Saccharomyces cerevisiae S288C: one gene and its partners. The protein of the gene in region 1 interacts with the protein of each later gene in a pairwise test. Each region holds a gene or a part of one and is shown in the gene's direction. Other genes may lie near its edges.

Region 1 (2,787 bases):
TATGAACCTTTCCAGGATTGTAAGCATGATCAAAAATTCTATTTTTATATCTGGTAAAGAAATCTCATATGAAAACGAAAAAAACATACTTGTCTTTTCTAAATCCTCTTCGCATGGCCAACATTGTGTGTCTACTGTATTAACAAGTTTTGAAGCAGTATGCGATTTCATGTTAGACGGATTAGCCTTTAGAGACAGAAAGACCTTAAGTTATGAGCTAGGTCCCTTGTTCAATACGGAGTTTACCAAATTTGTGAAAAATAATGCATCGATAATTTTAGAATCACTTGATTCACCGCTAAAAAATCTAGTTTCTGTCATAAATAACAAACTAACTAGACTAGTTGCCAAATCAGAAGTTACCAATTGGACACATTCCGGTAAAGAGATTCAGGATTTGTTAATGAACAAACAATTATACTACAATTTATTACTAGATAAAGTTCTTGAATCGCATATTAGTGAGATAAGAAGTATATTTGAAGATCCAAAAAAGAGCTGGCAAAATTTGGAAGTAGTTGAGCTCACTACTAGCAATACTAATACGATGAGCGAAAAAATTGGAAAAAATGATTCAGATGTACAGAACGAAAAAGAACTCCATAATGCCGTATCCAAAGATGATGATTGGAATTGGGAAGTAGAGGATGATGATGCCGATGCATGGGGTGATGAAATTGATGTAAATATTGACGACGAGGAAGAAAAAACAAATCAAGAGAAGGAAAAAGAACCAGAAGAAGAAGAAAATGCCTGGGATGAAGCCTGGGCAATTGACGAAAATATAGATGATGCTTCCCTAGAAAATGGAAAGGAACATTTAAAAGCTCATGATGTAGGATCACTTGATAAAGACCACATTGAAGTTACACAGTTACCAAAATTGTTCTTGGCAATTTCACAGAATTTCAAGAGTAGCTTTGCAGATAGCCATGTTGATGAGCAATACTTTGCGTACAAATACAACCTTTTGCAGACATCGTATATGGCCATGTGCACAGCTAATTTTTCTCACAATTGGTGCCAATTATATGTGGATATGAGATATCTAATAGAACGAGATGAAAAGCTGTATAGAATAAAAGAATTAACAAGGAACCTGCTGGAAACTAAACTGAACATGAAATATCGTATTGTCTGTCAACTAATCAGGCATCAATTGACCGAATTTCGTGAGAACGAGAGAAATCCATCGTGGGACGCCACCATTGAGAAACTGCTACCTTATATCTTGAAGGAAATTGTTCGTCCACTGCAGAAAATAAGAGGTGAAGAAGGTTCCCGTTACTTGTTGTCTTTCTTAAACTTTTTATATAACGATTGCGTGACAAAGGAAATATTAAAATGGCAGATTATCTCTGAGGTCAATTCCGAAAATTTGGGTGAGCTCGTATCTTTATTAGTGAACAACACCGATATACAATTATTAGCGAAGGAACCAAGTTACAAAAAGATGAGAGAAAAATTCGCCACTATGGGCAAGTTTCTACCATTACATTTAAAGGAGATTATGGAGATGTTTTACAATGGGGATTTTTATCTTTTTGCGACAGACGAACTAATCCAATGGATAGAGTTATTGTTTGCCGACACTCCCCTGCGAAGGAATGCCATTGATGATATTTACGAAATTAGAGGCACTGCTCTAGATGATTAAAAAATAATTAATCGTAGGATAGGTTACATGATCATTGCAATAGATGTACATCTTGTATTACGTATGCGTAAGTTGTCTTTTTTTCAGTTTTCTAATAAATTTCACGTGATGCGGTAGTTTTTTTTGGGGGTGCAAAGTTGGCACATCTTGTAGTGCATTTTTGAGCTTCTTAAATGACTTGAATCATCTTAAAACATTGCAGGATGAGATTTCCAACGACACAAGAGAGAACTAGCGCAAAAGATGGCAGAGATAAAACATTATCAATTCAATGTCGTCATGACCTGCTCGGGATGTTCTGGTGCAGTCAATAAAGTTTTGACGAAATTAGAACCAGACGTTTCCAAAATAGATATATCCCTTGAAAAGCAATTAGTAGATGTATATACTACACTTCCTTACGATTTTATTTTAGAAAAGATTAAGAAAACCGGAAAGGAAGTTAGATCTGGCAAACAATTGTGAATGAAAGTGAAGAGAAATAGTTTTTTACTCTATTTTGTATTGTAGCTACTTAAGTAAATGATTAATATTCTCAATAGGATGCTTACGAAGAAAAAAGTCTTTTTTTATTGTTTTATTGTTTTATTCTTTGTTGGCTATGTAGCCATTTGCCTTTTCAGTATAATCTTACTAATATAAAAATCTCAATCATGGTGAGAAATCGTTTTATAAGAAAAATGAAAAAAAACTTGTTTAAATCAAATCACTTATCATATTTGAAGAGTAAATGGAAAGTAAAGATCACTGGACAAATAAAAATGGATTTTGATAATTTACTAAACCTAGAAGAACAGTATTACCAAGAAGGTTTTCTGGAGGGCCAGAATGAGAATATAAAGCAGAGCTTTCTAGAAGGTAAACAGTATGGTTTACAAGTGGGATTCCAAAGATTTACGCTCCTGGGACAAATGGAAGGTTTGTGTGATGTTATAGAATCGTATGGATTGCATAGTCCAACACTAGAAAAGAATATACATACCATTCGTACTTTAATGAAAGGTTTGAAAATGAATAACGATGATGAAAGTGTGATGGAATTTGAGAGGGTGTTAATAAAATTGAAAAATAAGTTTAGAACCATTCTAATAACTCTTCATCGATTAGTTAAAGATAAAAGAACCCCCACC
Region 2 (3,037 bases), on another chromosome or scaffold:
TCTAGTTTAAACAGTGATAAAATTCCATATGTTGCACCTACAAAAAAAGAATATATCGAGTTGGATATATTGAATAAGGGATGGAAGTTACAAAGTTTAAACGAATCTAAAGATCTCCTACGCGCAAGTTTTAATAAACTGAGTTCCATATTACAGAACGAACATGACTATTGGAATAAGATAATGCAGAGTATTAGCAACAAGGATGTTATTTTTAAGATTAGGGACAGGACTAGTGGTCAAAAGCTGTTGGCAATTAAGTATGGTTACGAAGACTCTGGATCTACCTATAAGCATGACAGAGGTATTGCTAATATAAGGAATAATATAGAATCACAAAATTTGGATTTGATACCCCACAGTAGTTCAGTGTTCAAAGGCACTGATTTCGTACATTCAGTAAAGAAATTCTTAAGGGTTCGTATCTTCACAAAAATCGAATCAGAAGATGATTACATATTGAGTGGCGAAAGTGTGATGGATAGGGATAGTGAAAGTGAAGAAGCTGAAACGAAAGATATCAGAAAGCAAATCCAACTTTTGAAAAAGATCATTTTTGAAAAAGAACTGATGTACCAAATAAAGAAAGAATGCGCTTTGTTGATTTCCTATGGTGTCAGTATTGAAAACGAAAACAAGGTAATAATTGAACTACCTAACGAAAAATTTGAAATCGAGTTGTTGTCCCTTGACGATGACTCCATTGTCAATCATGAACAAGACTTACCAAAAATCAACGACAAGAGAGCAAATTTAATGCTTGTTATGTTGAGACTATTATTAGTCGTTATATTCAAGAAAACATTACGATCGAGAATAAGCTCACCCCACGGACTGATCAATTTGAATGTTGACGATGATATCTTAATAATACGTCCCATTCTTGGTAAAGTTCGGTTTGCTAATTACAAACTGTTACTAAAAAAAATCATAAAGGATTACGTGCTCGATATAGTTCCTGGCTCAAGTATAACAGAAACGGAAGTTGAGAGAGAACAACCTCAAGAAAATAAAAACATTGATGATGAAAATATAACTAAATTAAATAAAGAGATCCGTGCCTTCGATAAACTATTGAATATACCTAGACGTGAACTCAAAATAAATCTACCATTAACTGAGCACAAAAGCCCTAATCTAAGTTTAATGCTCGAAAGTCCTAACTATTGTAACGCACTCATTCACATCAAGTTTTCAGCTGGTACGGAAGCCAACGCAGTGTCCTTTGACACAACATTTTCTGATTTTAAAGAAGTAGAGGACTTCCTACATTTTATTGTCGCTGAGTACATCCAGCAAAAGAAGGTGTAATATCCTGAGTCACTCCTTAAACCTACATACATTGCCATAGAATGCCATTTATTACTATATAAAGTCGCATACGTACAAAAGGACAAGATCTTATCTTCGAAAACAAGAATATGAAGGATTTAATAACATTGCCAGGTTAAGAACGGTGTAACAACAATAGAAGTAACACAACACCAATAGCAAACAAACCAACTACAGATATGACTTACACATTGGCAATTTTAGGCTGCGGTGTTATGGGCCAAGCACTTCTTTCCGCCATTTATAATGCTCCAAAGGCGGCTGATGAAACTGCTGCTGCATTTTACCCTTCCAAAATTATCACATGTAACCATGATGAACCTAGTGCACAACAAGTTACCGATCTAGTTGAGACATTCGACGAATCTCCTAACGGTATTAAAGTCGAAAGCACTTACGGTCACAACGTGAGCGCTGTCGAAGAAGCTTCTGTAGTTCTTCTTGGTACCAAGCCATTTTTGGCCGAAGAAGTGTTGAATGGTGTGAAGAGCGTCATTGGGGGAAAGCTACTTATTTCCCTGGCTGCTGGCTGGACAATTGACCAATTGAGTCAATACACTAGCACTGTTTGCCGTGTTATGACGAACACACCTGCCAAGTACGGATATGGTTGTGCGGTGGTGTCCTACTCAGCTGATGTTTCCAAAGAGCAAAAGCCACTGGTCAACGAATTGATTAGCCAAGTTGGTAAATACGTTGAGCTTCCAGAAAAGAACATGGATGCTGCTACGGCTTTAGTCGGTTCAGGCCCCGCTTTTGTTCTCTTGATGTTAGAATCCTTGATGGAGAGTGGGTTGAAATTGGGAATCCCATTACAAGAGAGTAAGGAGTGTGCCATGAAAGTTCTAGAAGGAACAGTGAAGATGGTTGAGAAAAGCGGTGCTCATCCATCCGTTTTAAAGCATCAAGTTTGCACACCAGGTGGTACAACTATTGCCGGGTTGTGCGTAATGGAAGAAAAGGGCGTCAAGAGCGGTATTATCAATGGTGTTGAAGAGGCAGCCCGTGTTGCGTCACAATTAGGCCAAAAGAAGAAATAGATTGCTTTGCGTGAAATGTATGTATGTTCGCTTTGTAGCCGTATATTATTTTTTTATTACTGACCTTGCATTTTTTCGTCATTTTCCCGTCGGTCCGATAATGAATCATCACGATGAATGACTACCCCATAATAATGACACTAATTGGAGCGTATAAAAGAAAAAAATTATATAAATGTGTTTGTAATGAGTAAGAGCAATTGATTCATTTGAAATGAAAATCAAAAATCAAAATTAAAATAAAACTAAGCAACCATGTCAAGCGGCAGTACTATTGTTTCGTCTGACAAGTCGGGGCGAACATTTAAGCATGAGGAAGAACTACCCAAGTTACCATTACCTAAACTCTGTGACACTTTGCAGCGTCTGAAGGAGAGTTTAGAGCCATTGTATTATGCTGATGGTTACTATCAACATCCTTTAGATCCAGAACAAATTGAGAAGCTGTCATCCATAATAAGAGATTTTGAAGAGAATCCCGTAAGTGAGAAGCTGCAATCTAAACTACAGAGCTACCATGACACTAGGGATTGCTACCTTGATGAATTACACTTAGACATCAATAACCAGACCTCCACTAGGGAGATTCAGGACGATGTCCTACCCAGGAATCCCTTCTTGGTTCTCGCAGATGACGCTTTGCCAAACATCACTCAAGCTGATAG
Region 3 (3,620 bases), on another chromosome or scaffold:
AGCCACCACTGTCACTTCTCGTTTAATATCTTTAATCGCATCATCTATAGTTCCTAATTCTGCATTCCTAACACTGTAGCCTATCCAGCAAAATCATTCCCATTTTCTCTTTATATGTGCCTAGATTTTAAAATTTTGCTTAAGATGATTTACATTGAGGGGGGAAACTTGCTTTATCCGCTCCTCCAATTGATTCAAGAAGTATGGGCGCTGACCTACCATCTCAATTTCTTGTTTCACTCGAGAATTGTCACTGAGATAGTAAATGTCTAGAGAATCCTTTGCAACAGGAGATTTCAAATTTATATTCTTTGTGTTCGCATTCGCTTCCCGTCTGTTACTCGTTCCCTTACCATTCTATTATGCATTGCAGATCTGCCAAGTAAAAAAAAAAATACCTTGGTGTACACACCACCCATACATTATCTGACAAGGAAACAAAAGTAATGACAGTAAATTGAAGAACTTGTGATGAGCCAAAAAGAAGAATGTGTGCACTTCTTTTCGTATTTTTATGGTAAAGCCAGTTGGTGGCTTTCTTTGACGATATGAAACCCAGGATCCCATGCTGCCTATGTTGCATTTATGTAATTGTCTGTATGAAGCTCGCATTTTAGAGTTACTACTATGTGCTTTCTATGCAGTTGCTTGCCGCAGCCAAGACGTAGAGATTTCTTAGACGTGCTTTTTATTTCTTATGAAAGTAAAGAGTGTGTATACAACGAACTATGTTAATAATTAGTAGTACCAGAACATTGACTTTCGTAAGGACCAAACGGCATCCCTATCTCGGAAGAACACCACATGATGCAAGTTCTCCTGCCTACGAATAGTTCGTCAGGTGCCAGCACTGAGACCACCCAAACTAAAGGCAATCGAAAACTATACCACGTTTATCGTTATGTTTCGGCGGCTCACCTTGTATCAACCTGCTTGGCAAGCTGCTCTGCGAGGCTCCATTTTTTTACATTTTCAAGAGGAGTACATTTCACCTTAAAAAACGGCACGGAGAAAGCCTAAACTTGGTTGCATATACGCAATTACAAATCTTTTATAACTACTTCTGATTCTGTGCACGACGTGCCACCCGGTACAGTTCAAAGGTCACTATACGCACTGTCGATCGAGCCAACCCAACCCACAGAACATCCTAAAGCTTCAAATCGAAACGCGTACAGTCAGCATTCTTCATGCTGCACCCGATCCTTCTTACCGCGTGCTGGGTGAAAAGCAAGACTAAGAGCAAGACCCTTGGATAACGGCACCAAATGGACTACTTTCGTCCTTTCCTGCAACTCTGACTATAGCTTTTTCTATCATTGCCTAAACCAAACCGTCCACGCCACCTCACCAGCAACGCACAGCATGAAGAACGCGAAAACAGAAAAAAAAAACGCCAAAAGAAACGGCCACCGTGTACTTGCTGGCCAGCTAGAAATGCCTCGGGAGCCACCACGTTTATTTTTATCTCAATCTCTGAAAAACTTTTTTTTCTTTGTTTTTGTCGTTTTTCAGCATGAACAGCGCAGCAATAAACAAACAAACAAACAAACAGACGAACAGACACAGAACCACAGCTGACCGGTAGTAAAGTAAGCTGGTGGTTTCTCGCTTTGTTTTCTTTTTTTCCTTGCCTCGTGGCGCTCTTGTAAACATATATATAGTAGACTTTTCACGTCATTGTTAGAAGTTTCACATAGTCTTGTTTTCTTTTCTCCAAAACTGTATTTTTTTTTTCTTTGTCTATCTTGTTCTCACCTCTTTGACTTTGATAACGTTCATCAAGTGTGCAAACTACTTTACATTCGCTAACTCTTTTCTTCTGTCCAAATATTTTGTTGACTATACAAACAAAATATTATCAGCACAAGACAAGCTACAACTTCAACAAATAAAACATATATAATTGAAAAATGAAAGGTTTAATTTTAGTCGGTGGTTACGGTACCAGATTGAGACCTTTAACTTTGACCGTTCCAAAGCCACTGGTTGAATTCGGTAATAGACCAATGATTTTACACCAAATCGAGGCTTTAGCCAACGCTGGTGTTACTGACATCGTTCTTGCTGTTAATTACAGACCAGAAGTCATGGTGGAAACTTTGAAGAAGTACGAAAAGGAATATGGTGTTAACATCACTTTCTCTGTAGAAACTGAACCATTAGGTACTGCAGGTCCATTGAAATTGGCTGAAGATGTTTTGAAGAAGGACAACTCTCCATTTTTCGTCCTAAACTCCGACGTCATTTGCGAATATCCATTCAAGGAATTGGCTGACTTCCACAAAGCTCACGGTGGTAAAGGTACCATTGTTGCTACCAAGGTCGACGAACCTTCTAAATACGGTGTCATTGTCCATGATATAGCTACTCCAAACTTGATTGACAGATTTGTTGAAAAGCCAAAGGAATTTGTTGGTAACAGAATTAACGCCGGTTTGTACATTTTAAACCCAGAAGTCATTGACTTGATTGAAATGAAGCCAACTTCAATTGAAAAGGAAACTTTCCCAATCTTGGTCGAAGAAAAACAACTATATTCCTTCGATTTGGAAGGTTTCTGGATGGATGTTGGTCAACCAAAGGACTTCTTGTCTGGTACCGTTCTTTACTTGAACTCTTTGGCCAAGAGACAACCAAAAAAATTGGCTACAGGTGCCAACATTGTTGGTAATGCCTTGATCGACCCAACCGCTAAGATTTCCTCCACTGCTAAGATTGGCCCAGACGTGGTTATCGGTCCTAATGTCACCATCGGTGATGGTGTTAGAATCACCAGATCTGTTGTTTTGTGCAACTCCACCATCAAGAACCACTCCTTGGTCAAATCTACCATCGTAGGCTGGAACTCTACCGTTGGTCAATGGTGTCGTTTGGAAGGTGTCACTGTCTTGGGTGACGACGTTGAAGTTAAGGACGAAATCTACATCAACGGTGGTAAAGTCTTACCTCATAAGTCTATCTCCGATAATGTTCCAAAGGAAGCTATTATTATGTGAGTTAGGAAAACGAACTGTAATGAATATAATCTATATCACTCATCTGTTTTTGTTAATTTTATTTTAGCCAATATCATTATAAAAAGAGGAAAACATGCACAGAAAAAGCACTGCTTACTGTTATGTCTTAGTTTGTAATTGAAAATGAAAAATAAAAAAAAAAAAGAAAATAAAGAAAAAAAGGTTGATCCTTATGTAACTTTTTATTTACGTAGAAGTTAATAAATATTATCTCATTGTTTTATCTATTTTTCAGTATATGGATACATGTAAAGTTCCTCTATTTATGTATATTTTATGCATGACTATTCGCGTTTGAGATTGTGATGATCTGTTCTGCGCCCTTATTTTTATTATTGTTGGCTATCAATGTCTGTAGTATTACATCCAGCGAACTATCTACTTCTTCAATATTCATTTCCGTACCTTCCCTGATAATCCGTCTATATTTATGAATCTTGGCATTGTCTTCAAATTTCTTCACCAAGGAACTCAATTTGTTTTTCCTTTGTAATTGCAACATCGTTAGTTCTTGAGCCAATTCCAACCTTTCCAGCGTATTATTATCTTTCTCAACTGTGTTATTGGTGGTAGCCTGAGTTTCATCTTCTATTAATTTGT

What was found.
Region 2: the proteins of ATX1 (region 1) and PRO3 interact in a protein complementation assay, tested with the Saccharomyces cerevisiae proteins (one large-scale study listed by BioGRID).
Region 3: the proteins of ATX1 (region 1) and PSA1 interact in a protein complementation assay, tested with the Saccharomyces cerevisiae proteins (one large-scale study listed by BioGRID).

Annotation. Positions count from the first base shown.
Region 1 is NC_001146.8:156,979-159,765, reverse strand, and holds ATX1 (copper metallochaperone ATX1), read left to right. Parts: upstream 1-1,900; coding exon 1,901-2,122; downstream 2,123-2,787. Other genes in the region: DSL1 (Dsl1p), read left to right, coding at 1-1,657; ribosome biosynthesis protein LTO1, read left to right, coding at 2,419-2,787. UniProt on the Saccharomyces cerevisiae protein: Copper homeostasis factor that specifically transports copper to the secretory pathway for incorporation into copper enzymes destined for the cell surface or extracellular milieu.
Region 2 is NC_001137.3:199,565-202,601, forward strand, and holds PRO3 (pyrroline-5-carboxylate reductase), read left to right. Parts: upstream 1-1,511; coding exon 1,512-2,372; downstream 2,373-3,037. Other genes in the region: SRB4 (Srb4p), read left to right, coding at 1-1,311; carnitine O-acetyltransferase YAT2, read left to right, coding at 2,628-3,037.
Region 3 is NC_001136.10:355,053-358,672, reverse strand, and holds PSA1 (mannose-1-phosphate guanylyltransferase), read left to right. Parts: upstream 1-1,913; coding exon 1,914-2,999; downstream 3,000-3,620. Other genes in the region: transcription factor MBP1, read right to left, coding at 3,295-3,620. UniProt on the Saccharomyces cerevisiae protein: Involved in cell wall synthesis where it is required for glycosylation. Involved in cell cycle progression through cell-size checkpoint.